Linked DNA regions of Rhinolophus ferrumequinum. The protein of the gene in region 1 purifies or fractionates together with the protein of each later gene. This does not show direct contact. Links are inferred from orthologs where the notes say so. Each region holds a gene or a part of one and is shown in the gene's direction. Other genes may lie near its edges.

The links.
Region 2: the proteins of RPP14 (region 1) and POP5 purify together in Homo sapiens (co-immunoprecipitation; 3 studies listed by BioGRID and IntAct, with this or other methods). This does not show direct contact. The link is inferred for Rhinolophus ferrumequinum from reciprocal best matches to the Homo sapiens genes RPP14 and POP5.
Region 3: the proteins of RPP14 (region 1) and RPP40 purify together in Homo sapiens (co-immunoprecipitation; 3 studies listed by BioGRID and IntAct, with this or other methods). This does not show direct contact. The link is inferred for Rhinolophus ferrumequinum from reciprocal best matches to the Homo sapiens genes RPP14 and RPP40.
Region 4: the proteins of RPP14 (region 1) and POP4 purify together in Homo sapiens (affinity purification with mass spectrometry; 3 studies listed by BioGRID and IntAct, counting the BioPlex papers as one, with this or other methods). This does not show direct contact. The link is inferred for Rhinolophus ferrumequinum from reciprocal best matches to the Homo sapiens genes RPP14 and POP4.

Annotation. Positions count from the first base shown.
Region 1 is NC_046300.1:52,911,000-52,919,003, forward strand, and holds the start of RPP14 (ribonuclease P protein subunit p14), read left to right. Parts: upstream 1-4,992; 5' UTR 4,993-5,126; exon of another isoform or gene 5,127-5,259; intron 5,260-5,265; exon of another isoform or gene 5,266-5,456; intron 5,457-7,878; 5' UTR 7,879-7,889; coding exon 7,890-7,975; intron 7,976-8,004. UniProt on the Homo sapiens protein: Component of ribonuclease P, a ribonucleoprotein complex that generates mature tRNA molecules by cleaving their 5'-ends.
Region 2 is NC_046308.1:13,276,923-13,283,852, reverse strand, and holds POP5 (ribonuclease P/MRP protein subunit POP5), read left to right. Parts: upstream 1-3,912; 5' UTR 3,913-3,996; coding exon 3,997-4,016; intron 4,017-4,104; coding exon 4,105-4,247; intron 4,248-5,135; coding exon 5,136-5,285; intron 5,286-5,464; coding exon 5,465-5,548; intron 5,549-5,658; coding exon 5,659-5,771; 3' UTR 5,772-6,636; downstream 6,637-6,930. UniProt on the Homo sapiens protein: Component of ribonuclease P, a protein complex that generates mature tRNA molecules by cleaving their 5'-ends. Also a component of the MRP ribonuclease complex, which cleaves pre-rRNA sequences.
Region 3 is NC_046292.1:88,848,637-88,855,528, forward strand, and holds the start of RPP40 (ribonuclease P protein subunit p40), read left to right. Parts: upstream 1-3,877; 5' UTR 3,878-3,920; coding exon 3,921-4,043; intron 4,044-4,096; exon of another isoform or gene 4,097-4,774; intron 4,775-5,659; coding exon 5,660-5,804; intron 5,805-6,892. UniProt on the Homo sapiens protein: Component of ribonuclease P, a ribonucleoprotein complex that generates mature tRNA molecules by cleaving their 5'-ends. Also a component of the MRP ribonuclease complex, which cleaves pre-rRNA sequences.
Region 4 is NC_046298.1:2,073,916-2,080,807, reverse strand, and holds the start of POP4 (ribonuclease P protein subunit p29), read left to right. Parts: upstream 1-4,107; coding exon 4,108-4,114; coding exon of another isoform or gene 4,115-4,202; intron 4,203-5,709; coding exon 5,710-5,762; intron 5,763-6,892. Other genes in the region: uncharacterized protein LOC117034730, read right to left, coding at 2,480-2,635, 3,813-4,202. UniProt on the Homo sapiens protein: Component of ribonuclease P, a ribonucleoprotein complex that generates mature tRNA molecules by cleaving their 5'-ends.

The DNA of each region.
Region 1 (8,004 bases):
CCTTTTCACTTCTATATCTTGGGGCTCTTGTTGGTTAGAACCCACAGATCCCCCAGGTTCCTGTGATAAGGATGCAAAGTCCTCCAAAGTGGGGGTGGGGTGGACTGCTTTGTAGGGAACCTGCTAGGAGAGGATCTCTGAATTTTAAGAAAGGATCTTGGGCCCCTCCAAAAACAGCTGCTTAAGTACAGGTGGTTATCTCCTCTCCAAATTCTCCTTTCCTGGGGTCCTGGGGCCTCTTTAAGGGAGAGGTTTCTAACTTCACTTCAGAGGAAAGGCTCCTCCACTACTTAAGTAAGTACCTTTCAAAAATGCTGGATGAAACGAAGTTAAATAGCCCAGTTCCATCTCTAGCCCCAACACAAGCAGGAGAATGACTGCAGGAGCAAAAAACGTCCTCAGAAGGCAGCTAGGGAGGGGGCTGGAAGCGGGGACCAGGCTATCCTGAGGATGCTTTGGACATAAGAGTCTGGGCAAGAGCTGCTGGTCGTTTTTACAATTGACTGGTGAGCTGCCCCCAGAGTCCCTGCCCATAGTGGGTGCTGCTGATGTTCTTCCCAGGTCCCTTTACTGACTCCTGCACCCAACCCCCACCTCTGCGGGTGTTGGCTGCAGAGGGCTCACAGCTGCCCTTTCCCCCAGAAGAACCACCCTCAGATGACTGGAGATACCTGAGAGATATGCCACATTCACTTCCTCTCACCTGCTATGGTTGCCAGATAAAATACAGGACGCCCAGCTAAATTTAATTGCAGATAAATGAGTACCTTTTTAGTGTAAGGCTATCCCATTCATCGTTTATCTGAAACTCTAATTTAACTGGGCAATCTGTATCTTTTTTTTCTTCTAAATCTGGCAACCCTATAGCTGGCAGTCAATGACTGACTGTGGGGGGGAAGGGGTGTTGCGCATGAAGGCTTGGCCTCCTTGCCTCCAAGGCTGGAAGCTTTCTGGTATCATTTATGCTCTAGGGCTCCCCTGCAGGATTAGGCTAAAGCTAGACTGCAGCTGAACTCATTTGCTTAGCTTCTTCCCCTACCCCATCCTGTTTCCTTCTTCCCTTAAGGGTTTCACACAAAATAGCTGTCCCCAAAAAATAACTTCCATGGAGATCCCTGTCTCAGGTTTGGCTTCTAGGGCCTCGGACGCACTGGCTGCTTTTCAAAGCTTCCCGTTTGGTGATAATGCTCCGGGTTGCCTCAAAAGAGCAGCTCCCAGCCTTGCGTTCACATGGGAAGGATGGAATACAGCATTTTAGGCTCTAGGGCCTCTCACCGCCTTAGACAAATGACTTATCTTCTAGAGCTACTTTTCCTCATCTGTGAAAGGCAATAATAATAGTGACATTGCAGGGTAGATGGGATAATGTGAGCAAACTGTCTAGCACTTGGCCGGTCTCCCTAAATGGAAACAACAGCTGCAGTTTCATAGCCTTTAATGTCTGATCATTTTCACTTCCTTTGTCCTATCTTCACAGGCTGCTGACATAAATGGATACAATTCCCGTGTGATTGATGGAGAATTGTGGCTGTGAATGTTAAGGGACTGTCATCCTACTCGGGCTTCTCTCTTGCCTTTTTCCCCCAAATTGTGAACGCTCCTCAACTTTGAGCAAAATCCATTTGGCACCAGTTCACAAGGCAGGGAGGGGAGCTGACAACAGCCACGCGGGTGGAAGTATGGACTCATCACTTTCTTGACTGCCATAGCTTCCAGATGCATAAAAAACTGATGCAGGTGATGTTGGATCTGAAAGCAGTTTCTGAGTGTGGGCCGGGATCGTGTCGCGTGAAGCCGAAGAATGGAAATACGGACCAGGGAGAAGCAAAAAGTTTTAAAAAGAGGATAGTTTATTAGAGGCAGGAGAAGAGGTTGCAGCTCCGGAGTGGGAGGGGGGTCCCGAATGGGGAGTGCCCCATGACTGAGGCAAAAGTTCTTACTTTTATACCGTCCCTTGCCTGCTTGGGGAAGGGGAGCTGTTTGAAGAAGGGAACTGGCGCCTTCTAATGAAATTCGTCTACCAGGTTTGTTCTGCTTACCCATCCTAAAGGAATCAGCAAAGTAATCCACTCTTATCTATCAGATCTGCTCCATTTGTCAGGCCAAAAGGAATTTTATGATTAACCTCAGGGCCTTGTTACATTATGTCCTAGAGCAAAGGAGTGATTTTAAAACCTGAAGTTTTAGGATATGGCTGTCTTTTGTTTATTCCACCAGGGACCTCCCTGTCAACCTAGGGACATGCTAACTTTCCTGTATCAATACGAGCAGATCCTTCCCAACAACTTTGCTCTGAAATGTCAGATACAGAGAGTATCCAGAATGGCCCCGTTTGAGCCAACTGACTTCACCCAATGCAATGCTGGGCAACTTTTATAACGACTGAGGCAGTCTTGTGTATTTTGATTTGGAATAATATTAAGATACCTTGTTAAGAAGGGAAAGCACCCCCTACCATATCTCTGGGGAGACACTTAAGAAATTCATACTAGTTGTTGCTCATGGGGAAGGGGTGGGAAGGAGACTTACTCTTCATTGCTTATCCCTTTATACCATTTGAAATGTATGCCGAAAGCCTCAAGTATCTACTCAAAAAATAAAATTGAATGGAAAAACAAAGGTCAACCAACTATTTTATCCCAAACTCTGACAGCACTAAGAGGATTCAGGCGGTGTGAAAGGCACTTCATTTTCAGGGTTTGGTTCAGGAGAGTGAAAATTATTCAAGTTCTTTGAAGTCCAAAATATAAAGTGTGATCAAAACATATGGTGAATATTTGTTTATTTATGTATTCATGTTTACTTATTTATTTTTTTAAGGAGGACACAGCTCACAGTGGCCCATGCAAGGATCGAACTGGCAACGCTGGTGTTACCAGCACCACGCTCTAACCAACTAAGCTATCTGATCACCCCACGGTGAATGTTTAAATTTAAAAAAATTATTACAGTAAAAGACACATTGCCATTAATCCCCCGCAAAATACTCCCCCTCACTTCGAACACACTTATCCCATCATTCTTGCCACTTTCTGAAGCAGTTCTGGAATTCTTCTTTCGTGTCTTTAGTTGCACTGTCATGGCAGCCTCAAGGTCCTGAATCGATTCAAAACGTTTACCTTTCATGGTCATTTTGACTTTGGGGAAGAGCCAGAAGTCACACAGTGCCAGATTCGGTGAATAAGATGGATGAGGACACACCGTACTGTTTTTATTTGACAGAAATTGCCCTACCAGAAGCAATGTGTGACACGGCGCCTTTCCGATGTGATCAAAACATATGGTGACTGCTGCTGTCAAATGCCATCCAACGGAAAGGCAGGGATCTTCAATACAGGAAATGGTGCGTCGCACCTTAGTAACAGTGGGACGTTTCAACTTGTTCCCTGCAGTCGGGCGTGAGCTACAGTTCAGAGATGTTTTAAAGTGTGCCATACATCATTCTCCATCATGACAATGCTCCATGTCACACATCATTTCTGGCATATGACAATTTCTGTCAAATAAAAATATACGGTGTGTCCTCATCCATCTTATCCACCGAATCTGGCACTGTGCGACTTCTGGTTCTTGCCCGGCATCAAAATGCCTCAGGACATCAAAGCAGCCACGAAAGCGCAACTAAAGACACTCATGAAAGAGGACTTCCAGAACTGCTTCAGAAAGTGGCAAGAACGATGGGTTTGAAGCGAGGGCGGGGGGAGGGTAATAGCAATGTGTCTTTTACTGTAATAATTTTTTTTTATTTAAACATTTGCCGTATTGTTTGATTACACCTCATACAGGAGCTGCGTTGGTTTTGATGGGCTGCAGCCTGGCAGGATGGATTTGCCAGGCAGCTGATTTAGGCAACTCTCTTCCATTCCAGAGTGTTGCCGGGTGCCAGATACTTTACACCACTTTTTTTGCCTCACAACTCTGAGGTAGATGCTATTCATCTCTCCATGTGATAGATGATGAATCTGAAGCTAATTTTGGCAGCATCTGAAACCCATGCTTTTTTGAGAAAGAAAATGCCACTGTTTGTGGGGTCTGTTTTGATTTCCTCAACCTCTCCTGAAATCTGGAACAAGTCCTGTCTCCTCTGAGGGGCAGTGGTAAGCCAGTGGAGACACGGGCCCATCCCCACGGTGCTTACATTCGTTCTGGCAGCCCCAGCCACTCTCCCAAATACTCCCTGCCTCATCCCACACGATCGGTGGTAATACCATGCTGCAGTGTGGAGAACACCATCTGGAGTCAGACGGCCCACTTTACAATGACACACTTACCGTTGTGTGATCTTGGGCAAGGCACTGAGCCTCTTTTGCCTGTTTCCACCTCTGTAAAATGGGGATGATCACAAGGATAGCTACATTAGGATAGTGTGAGCGCTCCGTGAGGTAACATATATAAAGCTCTTTGCATAGTGCCTGGCACAAAGTACGCACTTGATAAATACTAGCTGTTATTATTGTTATTATTAAATACAAGAGCTGTTTCATGAGTACAGAAGCCTTTCTGTTCTCCGCTGAATCCTCAGTATCTAGCACATACAAGGAGCTCGGCAAGTACTTAATGAATAAATGCGTAGATGAAATTTGGCTTACATTTGTAAATGGGACCATCTGGGTCTTTTTTGTCAACTCCAGCCGACCGAACACCTACTATGTGCTGTCAGCCACGAGAGACATTGAGAGCAGGTCGTGTCCTTGGTGAGTAATGACATAGATGCCCAGCAGAAGAGATGCTCGATATAAATTTACTGAATGAACGACTGCATGGATAAATGAATGACTATGAAGCAAGCTTCCTGGGAAAATAAACAGGCCCTGAGTCCCGTACCCCATGCAGACATTTGCACACGCGGTTTTCTCCGGAGTGGGCACCAGAGGGTACTGAGCTCGGCAGGCCCCGGCTCCTGAGAAGGACTCACTCTTGGGTCCTTAGGAGGACTCCTCGCGGTGACGTCACATCCGCGCCTAGCCGCCACGCATCCGGGGGGCGGGCAGACTAAAGCCGAACGTGAACCTCCCCGGAGTTTCCCGGACTCAGGCTCAAGCCTCTGCAGGGGAGCTCCAGGCCTTGGCGGATTCTCGCAGTGAACAGGAGTCAGGGAGGCGTCAGCGCAGTCCCGCGAAGAACGGGTAGGCGGAAGCCCATAGCAGAGCGGCTGTTTTCCGGGACTGGGCTTAGTCGGCCGGCGGGTGACGCAGGCCGCGCGGCCTAGGCCGCATGCGCAAGACGAGAGTGACGGCGGGCGGCGCAGGGTGGCCTGAGGTAGGTTTCCGCTTCCGCGGAGGACCCGGCGGCTGGAAGGCGAGGCCCGGCCGCGGTCCTTCCCAGGCCTCTGTACCAGGCGGTCGCGGAAGCAGAGCGTGGCTGTGACAATGGTGCTGAGCGCATGCTCTCGGCGCCAGCTGGACGCCAAATGGACGTTAATCGAAAAAAGTTGAAAACGACTTAAGTGCGCAACAGTAGGGGATTTAGCTTTTTTATTTTTAACGTCATTGATTTAGTCCAAAATTTACATATGGAGTGCTTACTATGTGCGATGCACTGTTTTAGGTTCTTGGGAAACAGTGAACAAGACAGATCCCAGTTTCTTGTGGAGTGTACATCTGTTGGGATGGGGAGTACAAACAAATGAAATTACGTAGTTATATTAGAAGGTGGTGCGTGCTGTGAGAAGAGTAAAGTAGGAGCATGGTGGGAGGGGGTGCCGTATCAGATAGACACTGGATCAAATCGAGGGGTCAGATTGGAGCGACGCCGTGAAGGAGGCAAGGGAGTGAGCCATGTGGCTGGCTGGCTACCTGGTGCAAGAATGTTCCAGCACGCAGAGAAGCTGGGAGCGAGGCCCAGAGGCGAGAGGGAAACTGCAGTGTGAGGAAGAGCTAGGAGGCCTGTGTGGGGAAATGGCAGGACACGAGGTGCAGATCAGGTAGGGCCTTGCAGGCAGGCGGCTGTAAGGACTTGAGCTTTACTCTGAGGGAAACGGCAACCATTGCAAGGTTTTGAGTAGAGGAATGACGTGACTCGAATAGGTTTTAATAGGCTCACGATGGCTGTAGTAGAGGCTAGTTAGAGGAGGGAAGCAGGGAGAGCAGTTACTAACGGATGAAGTAAAGTGTGTCTGTAGCCATTTAAAAGGCTGATTTCAAAGGTGACGACGGCAATGACTATATAGAAGTGCCCACATTTTTGTGGTGAGCCTGGTGAATATGCCAGGCTGTAGGAAGGGCTTCCCAGGCATCCGTCTTTTTAAGTCTCAGGACAGCCCGCAGAGGGCAGTGCTCTCATTGACCTTGAGGCTCAGGCTTGTCCAGCGAGAGGTGATTGCTCAACACTTGCTCCTTAAGTCTGAGTGTGTGTGGGGGTGAGAAACACAACAAAATTGACCATTTTTTTAAATGTACAATTTCTTGGCATTAAGTACACATATTGTGCAAGTATCACCACTATCCATTTCCAGAATACTCTGTAAATCTTCATTGTTACTGGCATCCTAAACCCCAGGCCTAATCTCATTCTCCTACCTCAGGCAGCCAATTCTGGCAAGTTAGTCGGTAACACTTAAAAAACACCTATCATGTGCCAGGCAATGAATGAAATGATTGAGTCCTGTTCTCCCTGCCATTCTAGTCACAGGAGACTAGTGGTTGGTAACCATTGCCGCAGTCCTGAAACCAAAGATGCTCTTGAACGTACAGGCCTAACACCTCTGTCATTCAGTCATGTATTCAGTAAGTTGGTCGAATGCCTGCTCTGTGCCAGACACAGTAAATATTCACGTTTGTTGAATGGCTGGCTGTAGTTCTTTTACCCTGACTTCTCATTTTCTCTGGTGGTCACTATCTAGGAGTGGTCGGAACTGGCCTGAACCAGAGGATTTTGCAAATGCTGGTCTATAGCGATGTGACCTTGGATAAGTCCCTTTCCTTGGTAGTGCCTCAGTTTCCTGGTTCCTATGTGGGGGGACTAGGTATTAAATAGACAATGTTAAGAGATTGCATAACAAGGGAACCTAACAGAACAGAGTGCCAAAGAAGGCTCCCCTGAAGAGGTGAAAGTCCTGGAAGAAATGAACTGTAAGCTAAAATTCGCAGGATGAGGAGGCACTATGGAAAGGGAGAGTAAAGTGGGAATGGAGCCAAGGACAGGGATTCTCTACAGGGGGAGCAGCGTGTTCTGAGTTCTTGAAAGTTGCAGATCTGTTAGAAATGGCATGGAGTGCCCATCCCAGGAATTCCTCGCCCCAAACCCGTTGCTGTTTAAGCTCAGTCTTTCATGGGGCTGCCACATAGCCCTCTGTTGACCTGGCCTGATGGAAAGAACTTGCAGATCCAGTCAGCAGAACTGCTACCCCTCGTTCTGTTCATGTTCTGTGTTGGCTGAGAGTAAACAAGAAGAGGGCCTTCAGATCCCAGATTTACTCCTTTATGTTTTTACTTTTTTGGATTAAGAGGCATCATACCAGAGGGTCATGAAGGCGCTAGGAGTGGTTGGAATCTTTGTTCCCTTGCGCAGGTGTTCCTTATCTTTGCCAAGCTTCAATGTCCTCCTCTCAAAGATGGAAATAATAATAGCTTTTATCTCATAGGATCATTTTGAAGACATGACCTAAGGCATGTAAAGCATTTAGCACAGAGCTGGGTACTCAGTAGGGGAAAATGTTCGGTGGGGTTATGTTATTAGAATTTAAATAATACACTTGTCTGGCATATATGAAATATAGAAACTTCCTTTGTGTCTGTATGGGCAACCTTAGTTTGACCAGAATTAAATGAGTTACAGTCCTTAGGAGTTCTTTAAAAAATCAAATAGGTCGAATTCTCATTAACAAAGTGAAAAGTAGCTTGTACCTTGTTAATTTCTAACCCTCTTGACACAACGTAGGTGTAATCAGCATGGAAATGATGCCAGCCCCAGCTGCCACATATGAAAGAATAGTTTACAAAAATCCCTCTGAGCACCACTACATGAAAGTCTGCCTGTAAGTTCAGTCTCCTAAATTCTATTTTT
Region 2 (6,930 bases), on another chromosome or scaffold:
AGGGAAGGGGAAAGAAGTCCATAAGGCAGTGAGGAGGATGGAGGAGCGAATGCGACCTTCTGACTCTGAGGTCCAGGGAGGGCCATGTCTGCCCCAGCAACCTGCAGGATGTGGCAGCTTCCCAGGCCCCTGGCCAGGCAGATGGAGAGCTTAATTTTATCCAGATTGTCCCCATAAAGTCTTTACAAGGAATTGGTTGATTGGACTAGAGGAGCAGGAGCTCCTAATGAGCAGTGGCTACTTAACAAAATGCTGAAGCAGACACAATTTTCCTTAGCCACCAGCAGCTCCCAGGCTCTGATAGGGAACCCCTGGATGCCAAAGTCACTTCAGAATGGCACCCCAATTAGGTTTGACTTCTTTGAACATCCTTCTAGGTTACAGACAGCCTAGAAGAGATAGAGACTCGGGTTAATAGCTCAGATTTTGGGGTGAGACAAAAGGTCTTTTTTAGACTGAAATTACTGTGTGATTTTGGGCAAATCATTTCCCTCCCTGAGCCTCAGAGAATAATGATACCTGCCCTCATGGGGTTGTTGTGAAGACTAAATGAAGTCCAATATATAAAGTGCTTACTAGTTCATTGCCTGGCACATAGTAAGAGCCTAATAACTGGTAGTCCCAGAAGATAAAGATGAAGAATAAAGGATCCAGCTACTCTGGATCTCCCTAGAAGGTCCTGGAACAAGGTGAACAATTGTAGTTTCCCACCCCCATCTTATGGGAGCATTTTAGCAGCTGCCAGGACCACCTAGGGAATGCTCCAGATTTCCCAGTCTGTGAAATGGGTTGTGTGATTTATGTTTCCAAATAAGTTTTAAAGGACTTGCCAGAGCTAATATTCAGTTTTGTGTCTGATCCAAAAGGACAAATTGAGCATGGGAACCCTCAGATGGGAAGAAGGGGAAGCGCTCAAAGGAAGTTTCCCAAGCCCCCTCCCCCAACCCCCAATTCATTTGAGCTGGGACCTTCTTCTGAGAGTCCCAGAAGTAACAACAGCGAGTACCCACCCCACTGATCCAGACAGAACCTGTATAGGTTAACAGCAGAGGCTCCCGGTCAGAGATCACGATTAGCCTCATTCTAGCGTGAGTTTTGTTTGTGTCTGCATGAGTTCGCCTCTCTGAGCCTCAGTCCCCTGACTCCCCTGTAAAGTGGGGATAATGGTTCTGTGGCACCACTGGGAGAGAATCGAGGTGACTGACGGTGAGCGCCCCGCCCGCGCCGGGCAGGACACACACCCTTCGCCGCCAAGCGGATCTCACGGCCCCGGCCGCCCTCCACTCCTCTGTGGGCGGATTCCCCGGTGGCCTCCCGCGCCGCGCGGCGGGGACCTGGGTAATTGCAAACAGCCGCCGGCCTCATTAGGAGACGTGTAATTAGCGGCTGGCGGAACCCGAGTCGGCACAGGCTAATTACCGCGGGGAGCTGGCGGCGCCGCCGATGCCACCCGCCCCGGCCGCCGGCTCCGCCAGGCTACAGTGGGTGTCCAGATCTTGAAGGGGACGGCAGGGGGCCGGGCCTGGTAGGAGGAGGGGGGCCCCAGGACTGGCCCACTGTGCTTCCTCTGGGGGCTGTGTCTGGGGGGAGGAGTAGATCATGCATTCAAAAAAGCGTTTACTGTGTACTCCGTGCCAGGAGTTTTGACCACGTTATCTCGTTTAAATTTTACATCCACCAGTGAGGGAGAAACCATTATTATCCTATGGCATAGATAAGATCTAGACATGTGAATTAACTTCCCCCACATCACGTGGCTGGAAAATGACGGAGAGGGGATTCGAACCGGCGTCTCTAGTCTCTCCAATTTTACACCAAGTGGACAAGCGAAACATGGACAGGACATCAGCGGTGTAGCCAAGAACAAGAACCCTGGAGTTGGCTGGCTTTGGGTTCGAATTCTGATCCTGCTTCTTATTGGATGTGTGACTGACTGGTCTGAGCCCCAACTGCATCCCATAAAATGTTGGGATTAAGTGAGTTGAAGGCCGGGAAGTGTTAGGGACGTGATTTTAGGGACAGGAGGGAGAAGGGGTACTCGGAAGCGGCGTCTTTCTCTCTCCACACACTACAGGCCTCTGATGCCCCCTGCTGGCAAAAGGTGAAGGCTGGCAAGATCTTTTTTTGCGGGGGTGGGGGGCATAGTAAGGTGGTTCTTGGGTGAGAAGAAAGTTAAAGCAGACTCTGGTTTCTCAGCAAGGCCACGCTCTCCTGCCTCCCCTCCTCCCTTTCCTTTCTCAGTATCCCTCTTTTAAGGTGGCGAAGAGTGAGAGATGGAAAAATTGAGGACTCATTCCAGATCTTTCAAATAATCAGTTGTGAAATCTGCCTCCGTTCATGGACCTCACAGAGCCAGCCAAGTCCAGGACAGTTCTACAAATAGTCATGGATAGGTATAAAGACCGAGTCACTAGGTTGTGCATCAAAGTGCTGGGTACAACTGTAAAATATGGAACTAATTTAAACGTCCATCGTGGGAATATTGACCAGTTTAATAGTGGTACTTCCAAAGAAGGCAATACTGAAAATGTAGCTGAAAAAAATCAACATGGCAGAACAGTTGACATGAAAATATAGTCAAACAAGAAGACTGAATCTTACAGACTTTATGTTAAATGGAAGGACACACACACAAACACACCCCATGTTGTGGATATTTATATAAAGTTCAAGAACAGGCAAAGCTAATCTATCATGATAGAAGTCAGAATAGAGGCTACTTCTGGGAAGGTTTTTGGGAAGAAGATACTAGAACATTATTCGGTGCTGGAAAAGCTCTCAATCTGGGAGATGGTTATACAAGTCTATATATATATATGCACTCTATATATGTTATACTTCAATGAGACAGGTTTTTAAAAAGATATTCAAGCAAAAAAAAGAGTATTAAATATTATGATCCTATTCTTAAAAAGAAAATAAAAAATACAATTTAACATAGGCAACAGTTCTCAGTTCAAACTTTTTTCACTATCTCAGGACTCCTTTACATTCAAATTATTGAGGATCCCAAAGAGCTTTTGTTTTGTGGAATATGTATATCCATCCTTACCATGAATATTACAACAGAAATGTTTAAAACACAATTCACAATTCCATTAGCCATTAGAGAAATAATGTCCACACGTCTTGTAGCCTCTGGAAAACTTTACTGTCCACTCTAAGAGAGTGAAAAGGGCAGATAACAGCTCAGTGTTTTTATCAAAGTAATTTTGACCTTGAGGGAGTCTGAGAAAACCCAGTGGTCCTTGCATCTCGCTTTGAGAACTTCAGGTATAGGGGGAAAATAACGGAAGAAAACAAACTACATTATAAATTATTCTCGGTGCTGGGATTATAATTTATTTTTGTTTCTTTGTGCTTTTCAGCTTAAAAATCGGAAAATAAAACTCCCCCGGATTGCTTTTGTAAACAAAAAACGAGACAATACACCCGTCTCCCTAAGATTGTTGAAAAACCCAAACAGTAATAACATATTTCGCTGTATGGAAAAAGTAAACCGAGCCCTAACCTGAAAATAAGGGTCCGATTTCCTGTGTCAATTGCTGGCCTGTAAATGCAAGGTCGTATCCTCAAAAGTACTACAGTCCGGGTTGGGGAGAGAATATAAGTGCATACACAACTGTATTTATTACAAGATAATAGAAAGTAAACGTTCCGAGGTCGCCAAATGCAGCAGCTGCATCCTATAGAGTATTGCAAATTCTGGCGTGGAGCAGAACTACCCATCACCGCCACGAACCTCTCCAACACCGAGTCCAACTTCCAACCAAAGCAGCGTGGATCTCAGCATGACGCATGCGCGCTGCAAACGCAGATAGGCGGGGCTTAAAGGAGACTGACACTGGGCTTGGCCTCTCAACATTATAGCTCCGCCCTCTATCCTGCCTCCCTCTCTGAGTGGCTGCAAGACTGCGGAGGCTAACTTCCCATTGGCCACCAGCGGGAACACAGACATCCGGTTTGCGCAACGGAAAGCCGGACGCGGAGATCGCCATGGTGCGGTTCAAGCACAGGTAAGCAACCTGTCTGGCCTCTCAATACAGTCCCTGCCCGGTGCCCACGGCTCTGGCCGCGTGCTCACCTCCCTCTCGCCCGCCGCAGGTACCTGCTCTGCGAAGTGGTGTCTGACGACCCCCGCTGCCGCCTGAGTCTGGATGACAGAGTGCTGGGTGGCCTCGTACGGGACACTATCGCCCGCGTACACGGAACTTTCGGCGCGGCCGCCTCCTCCATCGGCTTCGCAGGTACAAGGGTGCTGGGGAACTGACAGACGGCGAGATTTGGAGGGAACTGGGGCCGGAGGAGGGATGAAGGAGCACGAGCGACCCCAGGGCCTGCCAACCCCTATGCACCATCCTCTGTACGATATCGTCCTGTTCAGGCGTCTGGGACCCCCGAGCCCCACGTCTGGACGAGTCCGAGGTTAAGCGGAGAGAGCAGAAGGCAGTGGAACTTTGGGCAAGAACTCCCTGTACCTGTTTGACATGTGTATATTGGGGAGTACGACTAAACTCAATAGAATGGGTAGAATTCAAGTTATTTGACTGGTTACATTGACAGCACATGGAAAAAACATTCAGAATTACTCCTGAAAAGCCCTTAATAGGGCCAGTAAAGTACAGAACAAATTGTGTGTGTGTAAATGAGGAAGAACAGGGCCTTCCCTACAGCCACAGTATCTAAATTTGTTCCCTTATACCATATGCTCGAAATGGAATCCTGGAGAATTAAATGCACATAGGCACACTTCTCTATCAGGTGAGACAGTTGGCTGCTTCAAGAACCTAATGCTTAGCTGTATTAGAACCTTTTTTTCAGCCAAAGGTTTTCTCCACACGCCCTCCCTATCCCATTCCATTTGAGCTAGTGAATTAAGAGCATTTAAAATTCTAAATCAGCAGCCAGTTATGAGTAGTGTGCAAGGCACTGGGTGTTGTCTATCCCCCTTCCATAAATGAAATTTCCCTACAATTTGTTTTCCTTCTGGAATCTGGTTTTAACTCATTGGTGCATCCCAAGTGCCACTACCTTGAACAGTTTGGGCACATAATAGGCTCTCTGTTACGCTAAGGTTTTTAACCTGCTCTGAGAATCCAGTTCCCCCAAATGTGTTTTTTTTTTCCCTGCTGTAGTGCGATACCTCAATGCCTATACTGGAATAGTGCTTCTTCGATGCCGAAAGGAATTCTACCAGCTTGTGTGGTCAGCTCTTCCCTTCATCACATACTTGGAGAACAAAGGACACCATTACCCGTGTTTTCTCAACACCTTACATGTGGGAGGTAGGGGTGCATGTGGAATGGCTCATTTTCAATAGGTAACAGGTTCAGAGTTGAGTCTTGACTAGTGGGTGGGTCTCCTGCTATTCTGCCAAGAACAAGAAGCCTTCCCCTAGCTCTGAACGTCTTTGAGTCAGACCCATTTCACCAGCTGTTGACCACAAAGCTCTTTCACGTGCCAGGTACAATTAGAACATGTCAGAAGTTCCTAATTCAATACAACAGGAGACAGCTGTTGATCTTGTTGCAGAACTGCACGGATGAAGGTAAGCAATTCTACTAGCCCAGTGTCCACTAAGCAGTGACCTCCAGCTGAATAAGAGGTCACACTCCCAGAGACATCTTTCATCCATGCTGTCCGTCTGCCTTTCTCCAGGAGAGCGGGAAGCTATCCAGAAGTCTGTCACAAGAAGCTGTTTACTAGAGGAGGAGTCGGGAGAGGAGGACCTTTCAGATGGTGGTGAGGAGGCTGCTGAAGCAATGGAGTGAGCCTCTGCAGGCGGCACTGTGCCTGGGCCTCAGGGCCTTGTTGGAACGACATTCTGGGAGGCAGCAGCATCTTCTATAGTTCACACTGGATGACTGCCGATCAGAGGCCAAGTTAGCAGCTCACAATGGCAGACCTATTCACATCAACTGATGTCACCTTTACCTAGCGTTGCCCGGTCAAGTGGTTCTGCAGGTTGTGGACCCTCTGTGGTTACAGCTATCTTTGTTTCTAATTGCCTGACTGAGAGCATGTTTAATAAATTTTATTTGGCTCCTACAGCATTTAGCATATGTACTTAGGAAGGTCATGTTTGGCCAAGTCTCTTCCCTCTACCCTTGGCCTCAGTGAGAAGACTGGCTCCCTATGTGGTACGAGATGCACAGTCTCTCACTGAGGCCTGTACCCCGAGCCCCTAGGACGGGCCCTAAGCAGTCCAGGTCATGTGGAGTAGAAGCATTAATGAGACACAGCAACTGAACTGGCACAGATTTACAGCTGGTCTCAGTACTGACCCACAGAACCTTAAAAATACCAGGTTCCTTGTCTACTTCATTAGGTAACTTGACAAAAAATGCAGTTCTAGCACTTTTCTTGAGGGGAAAAAAACTTGGCTTCACCCGACCATTATTACAAAGCCAAGTAGCAGCTGCCAATTTCTGGTAGTTTCTGTAGTCCCATCCTTCCCTATTGCCTTATACCTGCCTGGCAGCTGCAAACAGGTGAGACTGCCACACTCACAGGAATTAGGAGGGTCAAGAGATTGTGGTTAGTTCTGATCTACCTACTAATGACATTTCTAGGATGTTTTCTTGATAATAAAAATGGATGTCACTCAAAGTCCCTGACACATGTAACAGAGTTCTGATTTTTTCTTCAATGCACCTCATCTCAGGCTAGAACACCCTCACTCACCCAGGAGAGTTCCTGACGCAGGATTTCTGAACCTTTTCAACAAGGACAGGTTAAACCTAAACCCAGCTCAAGAACCCTTTATTTAGACCTGATGACCCTAGAAAAGACATTACTCCGTGACAGCAAAATTGCTCACGCTCATAGTAGTTATTGCTTTAACCTATTTAAGAAGTTTATCTAGCTGACCTGTAATGAACTTTAAAAAAACAGAAAGCTCACATTGCTTGTGCAGGTGATTTATTGCAA
Region 3 (6,892 bases), on another chromosome or scaffold:
CTTTCCTTGTAAAATAACTCTTCTACCACTTTCTACCTCATTGGCATTTATTTGGGAATCAGAAATTCACCCCACAGCTTAATATTCCATTTTTGGAATAAGTCAGTCACACTCTGGAACAAGCACCAGTGCCATCCACCTCCAGAGATCTTGAAAGTAGTTTAAGATCTTTTAGAACCTCCAGAGAAATCTTAATCTTTCCCATTTCCTTCTAGTCAAGCTTTTTTTTCCTCAAGTACCAGCATTGAAAATAAAGTTTTAAAAATTATTGTGCCAGCAAGAAAAGGAATGAAGTACTGATTATGTTGTCATATAAATGAACCTTGAAAACATTGTGCTAAGTGAAGGGAATCAGTCACAAATGTCTATTTATTATGATTCCATTTATATGAACTGTCCAGCAAAGACAAATCTACAGAGACAGAAAGCAGATTAGTGGTAGCTTAGGGCCTGGAGAGGACAGTGGGGAGGGTAGGAGGGTGATAGCTAAGGGTGTTCCTTTTTGAGGTGATGAAAATGTCCTAAAATTGACTGTGGTGTTGGTTGTATATATCTGTGAATATACTAAAAACCGTTAAATTGTACACTATAAATGAGTGAACTGTACAGTATAGAATTGTGTCTCAATAAAGTTGTTTTAAAATTTTAAAAATTATTATGAACTATTTCATACATTCAAAATTATATATATACATACATATATATGTTCATATATCCTGTACCTGTCACCTGCCTCATAAATACAACTTCACTGGTTTTGAAGACACGTGCGTGTCCTTCCCAATACAACCCCTTTGTGTTCTGCTTTTTCTCTATATTGAGATATAGTTGACATATAACATTATTAGTGTTCTGCTTTTAAAATACTCCTTCATTTGTACACTTCCATGTACTGACATAGCCTACATAGTTGTCATTTTTAATGTTTGTGTGCTTCACTGATTTCCAACCAGTCAGAGGGAGGACAGCTGAGGAGAGAGGAAATATCGTCTGACTTTGCACCTTGAGCAGAACTTCTGAGATTCAAGTCCTCTCATGGGGTGGACCATGGAGTATCGTTGGGGGCCATTCGTTTTTTTCCCTTGCAGCTGCTAGATCCAGTTTCCACTCTGTGTGCCATCAGAGGGCGGTTTTGTTTTTGTATACCAATAAGGGTCCATTTGTGGTGGCTGCCTGGAGTCCTGCACTGGAAAGAGCGCTGAGGTCAAGTTCAGGTTCGGCAGGACGGAAGCCTCTGATTTATTACAGGCATCTGCAAGTCAGTTCCCAGCACTGACGTCACTGCTACTCTGACTTGTAAGGAGGCGATGTTAAATGCATCCAGGGCGGTGCTGGGCACCAAAAAACAGGACTTAGTCACTCCAGGAGCTTCTGAGCTGAAGAGCTCTCTCCTTCCACGACTGCATATTGCTAGCTATATTTCCACATATATTTATAGCACTGCAATTGTGTTTTGGATTTGCACCCTGACCCAGGAATTAATTTATTTAAAAGAGTATTTCAACGTTTTCAAGGAGTTGAGCATCTTTAAATTCTGGTTATTTCTAATTTTATTGCACTGTAACCCCAAAATGTGGTATGTAAAATTTTTGCCCTTTTAGATTTACTAAGAATATTTTTATGTTTTTTAAGAATACAAAGGTATTTTTATTTCTTTGCAAGTCTGTTGACTTAGTTTTTAAAAACAAAATCATTTTGTTACTATATAGTGTGTGTATATATTATGGTTTTGTTTCCTGTGCTTTTTTCCCTTTTTTAGCCATTTTTTTTTCTGGCCCTTCATTCTCTCTTAGAGTTTTCTTTCTATGCCCTATGCTCTAGATCTAATACCTGTTTGTCAGTTAAGGTTGCTTTCAGTTCTAGAAACCAGGAAATCTGACACACAATAGTATGAACAAGGCTATGGTAGGAGGCCACAGAGGTGGGCGGGGACCAGGTTATCTAAGCTTTTATGCTACTGCAGTGAGAAGCCAGTAGCAGGTTTAAATGGGGGGTGGAGGGAGGTGGCATATATCATGTTTTTCATGTGTTCAAGAGATCATGCTGGGTGCTGAGTGGAGAGTAGACTGTAGGAGGGCAAGACAGGAAGCAGGGTCAGGAGGATGTGCCTGGCAGCAGACCAGAAAAAGAGGAAGGTGGCTGAAACTGGTAGTAGGAATGGAGAGAATGAAAAGAGACTGCAATCAGGATGCATGTTGAGGCAGAGCCAACAGAGGATTGCATATGGGGTGTGAAGGGAAGAAGAGTCAGGCATAACTCCTGAGTGTTCCCCACAGGGAAGAGAATCCAGGCAGTTTTCAGCATATAGATGTATTGAAAGCTGAGACTGCAGGATCATTCTGAATGGTCAGGCAGGGAAGAGAAGGGGGCTGAGAATCACTAGAGATCTTCTGGTGGAGGAGCAGGAGCAGGAAGAGGAGCTGAGTAAGGTGTGGGGGAGATCCAAGAGATGGAGGGGGTGGGTCTCAAAAATCCAGAGGAAAGTGTTTCAAGAAGGAATATTTTGAAATGTACCCAGGGATCATTACAGACACAGAACTCTGGGAAGGCAGGCTGAAAGGACTCCTCAGGCCCAAATTTACTTGAAGCTACAGCTTTAATCTATAAAATAAATGGACTTTTGCCTTCTGTTTCATAATACAGGCACACCCCGCCACAGAACAAATCCTCAAATAATGTATCCCTGGAAAGACACCTCTGTGTTTTGAATACCCAAACTACATAGCAGGTATTTATCGCTCAACACATTTTTCAGCTGTATATATATATATATATATATATATATATATATACAGCTGTATATATTTATATATATATATAAAATTTATATTGAGTCTTCAAAATTTAATAAAACTTAGTTTAGTGGCTTGCTAGAAAAGCTTCATCTTGCTCCCAAATACAGAATCACACTATACTTTGCAAAGCTTTGGAGTATCAACAAGAGATGAATATATCTGACGTGGCTGCTTTTGGAAAGGCCACTGATACTTAATTGTGACCAAGAAGCAATGTTTTAGGCATTTTACATCCAAATATATTTGTAGCTTATGTCTAGGTGCTGTATTGTGATTTAGGAAATTGGTAGATTTTTTCAATTGACTTGCTATTCCTTATAATTTTTTCCATTGAAAATAGGTTTTCCTTATTTTTTCCAGAGACAGCCTGACATTTCAGGCACAGGTTACTCACAACTGGCAAGGGATCTTCTAGCTTTGTCTTAAACTTTTAATACTTACCTTGTAAATTACTTAACTTGGGTTCTTCCAAATTTTATAGTCAAATTAATGCTCCAGAAAGTTGTACCACATATTCTACTGTTTGGTATCCTCTCTGCACAGAATTGGGGCTGTGCATACTTCAGTTTGAGAAGCAACTAGTCAGGTAGTACTTGAAGTTTATCAGAAAAATTAAATGGAAAAATAAATTATTACTGTAACCCCAACAGCAATAAATACTAAGAGGTTCCGGAAGGATAATTAAAAAGGGGTCTTAAAAGTGGTTCCAAAGGCGTCTTAGTGTAGTGCGGAAAACAGAAATTGGGTATTACCTTCCTAAACAAACTTCCTAACAGTTTAGGAAAGAGCAAGGTGGGGGTGGCGCTCATAGGGAGGATTTATGGCGAGACAGAAGTTGGGAGGGATGGAGGGTTTGGAGAGAAAGGTGGCTTTGGAATGACAAGTTCCATGTTCCCAGGTACCAGGTAATTCCATTTGACTCAGCGAACTTACGGTGCCAGGTACCCGTTAGTGAGTTTCTACTTGGATCCCAAAGAAGCCTGGGGCAGCCGGCACCGCCAGCTCCACCCCGACCTGGGGTCGGCCTCAAAGAGCGCCGCCGGGCCGCACTGCGCATGGCTCAGGGGCGGGGCGAAGGGAAGGGGCGGCGCGCCAGGCCCGCGGAGGTTCTGTGGCAGGGAAAGCATGGCCACCCTGCGCGGGCTGAGAGAGGTACCCCGGCACTTGCTGGTCTGCGAGAAATCCAACTTCGGCCACGACAAGTCGCGCCACCGGCATCTTGTGGAGACGCACTACCATAATTATAGGGTGAGTCGGGCCGCCCTCGGCTCGCGAGCTGGAGAGGCTTGAGAGGATCTGTACTCCGCTCTGCGTGGCGGGCCCGCCCTCGGCGCTGGGGGGCGGGGCCCTTCGCCGGGAGTGCTGGGAGCTGTAGTCTCTAAACGGGTCGGAGCTGGTTGCTGGCGGACCAGCCGGATTACAACTCCCAGGATGCGCCGCGAGCGGCGCGGTATCGGCCCTGGGGGAGACCTGGGCGGTGTGCGCCGGTAGCACGTTCCTCCCGTCCCTTCCCCGGCCCATTTGCAGAGCATCCCGGGGAGGGATGTGAGGGGCAGGGCCGCGACTGTTGCGAAGTGCAGCCGCCGGCCGGCCTCGTACAACTCGCTTTTTCCCCACATCGAAACCAGACTCGCCTCTTCCCCACCGCCTAATTCCTTCTCCCACCCGTGTGCCTGTGGATTTTTCAGAGCATCGTGCGGAGTCTACGCCCAGATAACGACTTGCTTTTCTAAACTGCTTATGGAAACTGGATTGATAGCTGAGAAACTTTCCACTTTGCCTGCCTGCTGCCCTATGTGTACTCAAGACACACTGTGCTATTTCGGCAGCTTTGGGGAGAAATTCGCTGTGATGGCCCCGCTAGCGAGCACAACCAAGAGTTTTAACAGGGTGGTAACAATGGCTGTTGTTGCTTCGTGAAAATGTCACCCTCAGGGGTGCCTTTTCCTCAGATGTGAAAGTCGAGGCATCTCAGTGAGGTTAATTATTGGTTTATCCAGGATCTGTTGTGAGTGGAGGAGAACAACCCAGATTCCCAGTCAAGTGTCTATAGGGCTGTTTTCACCAACCCATTTAAGTGGTGAGACCTCCAAAAAAATCAATCTCAAGATGATAATGGTTTAAGCCTTTAGCACGTTAAATTGATCAGCCTGATCAAAACTCAGGCCCGACTGGCCTGTTTCTCAGAGACTCAAGTGCTGACTCTGGCCCTTCCGGGACAGACTGGTGTGTCGGCAGCTTTGGGAGAGTGATTTTCAATGTGTGGAGCCTTGGGCAGCGTGTGAAACCCGTTAGGTTTTAACATCTCCGCTTTGGATGGAAAAACTACTCACAGATAGTAGTCAGGGACGTATGCCTTAACTCGCCAGGTCTGATCTGTAGAATTTTTCTGTCTATAAAATAGAAACATCCAGTAGCACTTCTGCTTCCATGTACCCTACTAATAATTGGTTCTGAAGAGGTAAATTCCTTATGCTCTAAGAGACATTTCCTGTGATTCAAACCCGCGACCAGGATAAACAAATTTAGGGATATTCAATTGTCCTATTTTCCCTAAAAATTAGTAAAAGGAACAGGACATATTTATAATGCTTCTTTGTAAAAAAATAAAATACTAGCACGACATTTCCATTATTTATTTGTTTTTTGGGGGTCATTCTCCTTCCTATACGATATTTGAATACAGAAATGAAAACTTGAATTGTCAGGTGTTTCTTTTCTTGAGATTGGTAAGTTAATTAATGAGAGTTTTGTAGAAATCTCTGGCGGTATAGTTAGCAGCCTTCATGATCTATATCATCGCTAAAATCCTGGGTGTTCAGCTACGTGAAAATAAAACTTGTTTATATTACACATTCCAATAGGTTTCATTTCTGATTCCTGAATGTGGTATACTGTCAAAAGAACTCAAAAACCTGGTCATGGAAACTGGATCCTATTACTTTGTGAAGAATTTACCTGTTCATGAGTTAATTACACAGGAATTCATCAATACCTTTGTAAAGAAAGGTAAGAAAAACCATGCAGTGTCTGTGAACGTGGCAAGATGAGGAAGTATGGTTAGATCACATCACAACACAAGGGTTTTTCTCTTGTGTTAAATCGGGCCTATGGAAATAGTCCGTGTGGTCAAGTGCATGCATTACTCTCCCCATTCCTCAGTATTCTTGCCCTGCTCTTCCACATGCTTTCATTAGGTGGTGGTTTCCGATGACATTTGTCCACAGGTGTTGCTTGGGGTTATTGTAACATGAAGGCATCCCTCATCTTAAAATAAAGATTAGTGAAGAGGAAACCCTTTTGATCTGTGTATTCAAATTCGGTGCTGTTGGGTATGTGCCTCCAAAGAACAGTATGCTCCCAGTACCATGTTTCCCGGAAAATAAGACCGGGTCTTACAGTAATATTTGCTCCAGAAGACGCATTAGGGCTTATGTTCGGGGGAATGTCATCCCAAAAAATCATGCTCGGGCTCATTTTTTGGTTAGGTCTTATTTTCGGGGAAGCACAGTAGTTCCCACAACAGATATCTGAAAGGTTGGTTTCGGATAGCAGCTGTTCACAGTGGTTTGGTGTCTTCTGCTTAGACTTGGTTCTGAAGAGGTAAATTCGCACCCTCCTCTGCTCACCCCATTCCCAGTCGTGTCTGGTGGGTGGATTGGATTATTCCAGTTGTTTCCTAGGAGCCACTTGTTTGAAACTATTTCAGAAAATCTTTCGGGATCGCACCCTCACACCGCACGTTACTGCACTTATAAGTAAGCAAGCCACTTACTTAGCTTGCGGTCAGACCGTGTTTTCCTCTCCAGTGGAGAATCCTAGTTCCTGGTAGCTCCTCTCACTCTGATGTTGCTGGGGCTGCTTATGAAGCTGGGCGTCTTGTCTTTGGTCTCATCGACATTGTTCCTTTCATCTGTTTTGAAGTTTGATGCTACTTTTTTAATATTAATAGTGTGGACACTGGCTATAGTAGGCACTTTTACATATCTTACCCAATTTAAACCCTTGCCACAACTCTATGAAATATGCCTGTGATCCCCATTTTACAGGTGAGGAAATTGAGGCTGGGAGAGATTAAGTAGTTTTCTTAACTTCTC
Region 4 (6,892 bases), on another chromosome or scaffold:
GCTGACATAGTCCAAATGGCGGAATTAATATTAATGCCAGCTCTTTTGGGGGAATCAAGGAACCTCATTACATAGGAAAACAGGTTTCATAGCAGACTCGACCCTTGTCAAAAATCCGAAGTGTGGCCTGTCATTGGCACCCCAGCCACCTCTGCCCTTACTTCTTCCACCACTCGCCCAACCCACCCCCACCCTGTGTCAGATGGACGGCGGCCCCCCTCCTGGCTCCTATGGGGAAAGTGTGGGGGCGTCCTTTCCAAAAGCAAAGGCCTCCAGGTGTGTGTTAGAGACGCATGCTCCTTCCATACTCCATGGGTCCTCGGAGTCCCCCATTGAGCCCAAAGACCTGAGAGAAACACAGGAGCCACTCCAAGCTTACAAGGAGCGCTGCGGCCCACCCCAGGGCCTGAGCGCTCTGCAGACCAGCGCTGGGTAAACAGGCCAGTCCTCCTGTTACCACACTGACAGGCAAAAGGAACCTCACAAATGAGGATGGACGTGGGTCCTGAGAAGATGGAAAACGGGAACCAACCCGGCCGTGGAGCTATTCCCCAGCTGGTAACCTCCACAGGCCAGTTCTTCAGGTTCCTGAAGCCCCTGTGAGGGCTCCCAGCCACAGGAAGTGGCCACCAGGACCCGAGCACACAAAGCACGCTTCCCAGGACTTGTCCCTGCAGCAGCGGGCAGTGCAGGGGCTACAAGGGGGCCTGACACAGTCCCCATGCTCCCTTCATTTAACAAGCAAGACACAGGGGCCCAGAGAGGCCTCGGGGCTCGAGGGAAACAGTATTTATCACATGATTAAAAAGGAAGGGTGTGTGTGCTCTGGGCACATATTCTCAGTAGGTATGAAAATGTTAAGTCTGAACATGGAGGCACCTACCATCACAGGAAACAGAAAAAGTCTTTTCCAGCTCTAGAATTTCCATGTGTCTGCTGAAATTCCTCATCTTTTTACCCATTTTGTCCATCTTTTCCACTAAGTCATTTGACGTATTTATAATAGTATGTTAAAGGCCTTGTCTTCCAGTTAAAACGTGGGTCATCAATGGTCCTGTTCTAGTGACCATTTCTGGTCTGGATTATGGGTCACAGTTCCTGCTTCTTTGTGTGTCATACGTACTGGTTTTTAAATCTTAACCTGGATGTTGCAGGTGACAGAACAGAAGAGCGTGGGAAGGCTGAGAGGTGTCTCCATCTTTTCCTGTTGGGCATACCTTTTCCTGTTGGGCAGCGATGCCGAGGGCCTGACTTTTTCCCTGAATTATATTTTTCAATATGCTCAAGTCCCCATCTGGCTTCAAATATCTTGAAGGGGAGGTCTGTTCCCTACCTCCGGAGGGGCTTTGGGAGTCAAACATCATAAAACCAGGTCTCTGCTTTCCAGCCCTGTCCTAATGGCAGTGTGGGGTGATTTTCTGTCAGCTTGGTTCTCCCTCCCACTTTCCCATATTTGGGGCCATCATGGACTCAGACCTATGCAAACACACAGCAGCATGCACGCCTGCCCCATGCAGCCTGCATTGACTTCCCTGCAAAACCTTCCAGGGCCTCAGGAACGACATCCAGGGAAGATCTCTTACAACCCCCAAAAGCCTCCATCCAGTTCATTAAGACACCCTGTCATGAAACTCAAACCAAGCTTTCCTCAGTTGAGTTCAGCTCAGAGTAAAACTTCATCAGGAAACTGGAAGCATCTATGACAGTTGAGTTTTTAGACACTTGGGATCAAGACAGCCTTGAAGAGTGACTTTTGGGGGTTGAAAGACTGAGAAACCTGGATTTCAGAAACTGGTATTTGGTCACACATGCCAAGTGTCCTAGCCCCTGCTGTTCAAAATTCCAAATGGTTCTTAAACTAATTTAGAACACAGTGCTGTCTCGTGACCAGAAGGGATTGCTACGTTGTCCCCCTGTAAGCATCGGTCCTTTCTTGTAGCCAGAGCACCCAGTGACCCAGCAGGACAGGGCTGGCCTGGCAGGAATATCCCATGTTAGCACGGGCACCTTACAGCCTGGTCCCTTCACTCGCTGTCAGAATGGGCAGTCTCCTGTGGCACTATTGAGCTTGAGGAATGACTGCTGGGGCCCCCGTGTGCAGTCCCCCACCACCACCACTCCCAGTTCCCCTTCTCAATACACCACATCTGGACAATCATCAGATCAAAGGCAAAGCAGGGCCAGGGAAGTTCGTAACACTGAGCCTCAGGGACTGTTTCAGCTTTGTGAGAATGCAGACAACGATGGCTAGCATCTCTCAAACCATGTCTGTGCCAGCCCTGTTTTAACATGGGCGTCATATCACTGAGTGCTCCACACCACCCTAGGAAGCAGGTACTGTTGTCAATCCCATGGCACAAACAAGGCCTTCCTGTCTAAAACAGCAGAACAGGGCTCATCCCTCTCAAACACACCAGGTTTAACCACTTCACAAAAACACAAAAGAAAGAAAAAATTCTGTATGTATATACATACGAACATATACAAGATGTAATCAAAACACACTGTGACTGCTGCTGCTGAGTGCCATCCAACGGAAAGGCAGAGATCTTCAACACAGGAAGCGGCGCGTCGAACCTTAGTAACGGTGTGTGTGACAAGTTTCAACTTGTTGGTGCAGTCAGTCGGGTGTGAGCTACGGTTGAGAGAAGGTGTGTTTTAAAGTGTGCCGTAAATCATGGATCACAAACAACACATTAACATGAGATGGGCAAAGAGTTTCATCCGCCATCATGACAACGTTCCATGTCACACATCGCTTCGGATATGGCGACTTCTGTCCAATAAAAACATTACGGTGTGTCCTCATCCACCTTATTCACTGGATCAGGCACCATGTGACTTCTGGCTCTTCCCCAAAGTCAAGAGGACCATGAAAGGTAAACGTTATGAATCGATTCAGAACATGGAAGCAGCCAGGACAGCGTAACTAAAGACACTCACAAAAGAGGACTTCCAGGACCCCTTCAGAAAGTGGCAAGAATGATGGGATAAGTGTGTTCGAAAGGAGGGGGAGTATTTTGAGGGGGTTAATAGCAATGTGTCTTTTACTGTAATAATTTTTTTTAAACATTCACTGTAGTTTTTGATCACCCCTTGTATATACACGTGTGTGCATGTGTATGCATATGTATGTGTATATACATATATTTTATCAAATTATATTTTATGTTATATATAAAATAATACACCGACTTTTTTAACTTGGAGGATTACAACTTTCACCGAAAACAAAGCCTTCCATGTTCTCATTACAGATTTGCTGGTGCTTCTTCAGGATCATTACCATTTCTTCTACTTAAACTCTACTAGAAGGGTCCTAATTTTCATAGATGCCCGCTTGTTTAATAGTTGAGGCTTAATCTTTTGGGGCTTGTACATGACACTTCTCTTAGAGTACTCAACCTCCCGGCCTGAATGTCTTAAAGCAGCAATCAGAGGAAACCTGTACAATTACGGCAAAACGTTAATTGTACAATCGAATGGCGCACAGGTGTTCACTGTAAAATTCTTCTCCTTTCCTGTATAGTTCAAGATTTTCACAATAAATTGTTGGGGGGGGGGGGGCAGACTCATCTGCAATGATACCATCAAAACTCGACTTCCCCTGGAAATTTCACAAAAAAACCACTAGTGGGAAAACATCTGCGTGCATGTTTGAAAGCTTATCATTCAGAGCTATACAAAAAAAGAAAGGATCAAGCATCCCACACGCCCTAACCGCAGCCCTGCGGCTTCTAGCCTTCCCCCGCCCACAAAACACACAGGCTAGCCCCGCTCCGAGGGACAGACGAGCGCGGGAGCGGCCATACCTGCGCCAGCCGCCGAGGCCGCTCCCGCGCGCCGGCGCCACTCTAGGTCGGCGCGCGTCGGTGACGTCACGGCGGCGCCGTCCTCGCGTTCCGCGCGCCTGCGACCCCCGCTCTGCGTCCGAGCGGGCAGCCTGTCGACTTAGCGTGGCGCGCGAGCTCGGGTGCCCGGAACCTGTCCACCCGCGGCTGTGACGAGAGAGGCTGCGGGGGCCGAGCGCTGCTGAAGGAGCCGGAAGGTACCGCTGAGCGGCGCCTGACGCAGGCGTCATCAGAGCGCGCCGGAAGCGGTCCGAGGATGAAGAGTAAGGGGTCGAGGGCCGCAGCGGCGGAGGGGTGGGACGGGAAGGGTCGGGCTTGGTGCTGGCGGGTGAGAAGGAGCGCTGCGGAGTCCTACGGGAACCTCACTTCGGTGAAACGGGCCCGGGGCCCGGATAGCCTGACCCCGCCTCCGCGCAGGGTGGATGGCAGAGCTGGAGGCCGGTTCTCTGGGGGCTGCTCAGTGGGGTCTGAAGCTAGAGGAGGGCCCAAGGCCTTGGCCCGATGTGGCCGCTTCCTCCCTGGGTGACCGAGGTCCCCTTCTGTAAAGTACAGTTACTGATAATGGTGCCTTGGCACCTGCTGCTCTGTGAACGACCCTTGTTTGGTGTAGAGCTCTGGGCGCTTGCTGGGCAGTGATACCACTAACGCAAAGCTTCGGGAGCGGAGCGGAGCGAGCACCCAGGGCAGTCACAGGCAGGGGAGCGGAAACACCGTTACAACGGGGCTTTGGGTCAGGACTTTGAGTTCCGCCTCTGCGGGTTCCTACCTGTGTCAACTTAATAATAACTGTGTTAAAGGATTGTTCAGAAAGTGTAATGAGATGAAATATGTGTGGCTTTCAGTGAGTTTCGTGGCAAGTAGTGAGGGCTCAATACCATTAGATGTGTACTGTTACAAAAGCCTCCCAAGTCTAAAGCTAGGCACCTGTGACAGGTGAGGCAAAGTCCTTCCTGGGGCTCCAGGCCCTGTAAGTTGCTCTCCCCATCACAAGGGAGAACTCAACTCCAGACATCAAACTTGCAGCCACTTGGTTTGCTTCATCACATGTTCTCAGGGAAGCACAAGGGAGCTGGGATGAAATTTACAGAGTGTAGTGTGAACCAAATTTTCTATTCTTCTGTCCCTTAAACCAGGCCTTTCTCTCATTCTTACTCTGTTCAGACCCATAGTCTGTCCTCAGTGCCCTAGTTTTCTTCTTCAGACAAATTAAGTAAAAAAGAGGAGTGTGGAAGTTTGTAGAAGTTGAAACCACATCAATGATTGATATACTTTGATCTTGAAGAAAGACCTGTATTTTCTCAGTTTAGGGCACCACTTGTAGGGTACATCCCAAGTTCATAGATAGTAAAATGTGAAAAATCTTTTTTAAACATCTTACACGTAACAAAATGTAATATTGCCAACCACCTGCATCCTGGAAAGCCCTATCATATAACTTTTAGATGAGTTACTTTATTAGACTAATTGAGCAACTTCCCAGGTTTCTAAACTACGGTATTTTAAACCACTGCGACTCCAGATGTGGCCCGCTGACCCACAGTGACATGGAGAACTTGCTAGGAATGCAGGGTGTGGCAGTGGGGCCAAGAATCCACTTTTTCCTAAGAACCCAGAGATTCTTACACACCTTGCTGTTTGAGAAGCCCTGTTTTAAAGCACCCCCTTGGGAGTTCCACGATGGACATGGCCAGAGAGTAGGAGAAGAGGCATCCAAGGGAGTTTTGAAACTGCTCTTTACACCGTGCCATCTTCTCCTATCTCTGAAGAAGCATAATTATTTTCGTAGTTAAAAGCCTCTTGGCTCTTATAGCCGTACCCAACAGGAGTCATTCCGTGTTTGTGCTCTTCACTCCCCCAGGTGCGATCTACCATGCCTTTTCTCAGAAAGAGGCGGAAGAGTTTGATGTTCAGGTAAGGTGGGAGGAAGTCCACCCGGTGGCTTCTAGCCTTTAGTGCTGCTTTAGGTGTCCTTTTCCAGGTCTTACTCCTCACCTTTCCAGTAGCCGTGTTAGGTTCCCTCGAGCTCTGTTATTCTGTTGGCCTGTTTCATATGCTGGCCTCCTTTCCCATCGTGCCAAAGTCAAGCTTGGTTAACTAGGACTTCCTGACCTTGTGTCATCACCCACTATGTAGGGGACGCCAGGCTATGCCCACCTGAAACCTGCGCCTGTGAGCACTGTCATTTGACGTTGTCACTGTGTCCCCTTCACCCTTGAAGAGGGCAGGCAAATCACATTTCATAAGTGGAATTTATGGAGTATACCTGGATGCTGCAAACATGATTTGTCAGTTTGGCACACGCTCCACTGGTGACTCATGATGAGGGAGATACCTCAAAATCAAGATTTTGAAAGACGGATATACTTTTTTTGGCTTCTCCATGAAGGAGGGCCCACAGTCAAATAATTGTTCCCTTACAGAGATAATAGTGATGATTTTTAGTTAGCATCCAAGGTACCAAGCTGAAGCCACGTGCCCTCCCCCCGGTGAGCTCCTTATGTGCATCACACCTTCATTCCCCGCCCCCCTGAGGGGAGGGCTTGATGACTACAGACACAGGAGCCTCGGGGGGTTTGCAGCCTGTGGCCCAGTGCAACAGGGGCCCAGGAAATGGTCCCGCCGAGACACCAGTGGGTGGTGCTCCCTGGGCTGTGGCAGACCCGGGCAGCCGCTCCTGAATGAGGGACAGATTGGAGGTCTCCAGCTCGAGAGGCGGCGATGCTTGGAGTTCCTTCAAGAATTATACACGATTATGACGGTTTGCCCAGAAGTCCTCTCTGAGAGCCACGGTCACATGACACTGTGCTGTATGTACAAGAGAGTGAGCACGGGCGTGGGGGCAGGGCCTGAGGGGTGCTGACAGTTCCTTTCCCCAAGTGATGTGGGAACAGGCTTGGAGAGTAGCCACGATTCATCCACAGAACTGGAAACCCAAGTAAAGGGGATTGCAACGTGGGCACAGTGACAAAACCCCTACCCCGGGGGCTGGGCCCACCCCAGAGAAGGTGGTGTGCCGTTTTCCCGAGTGTGAGGATCATTCC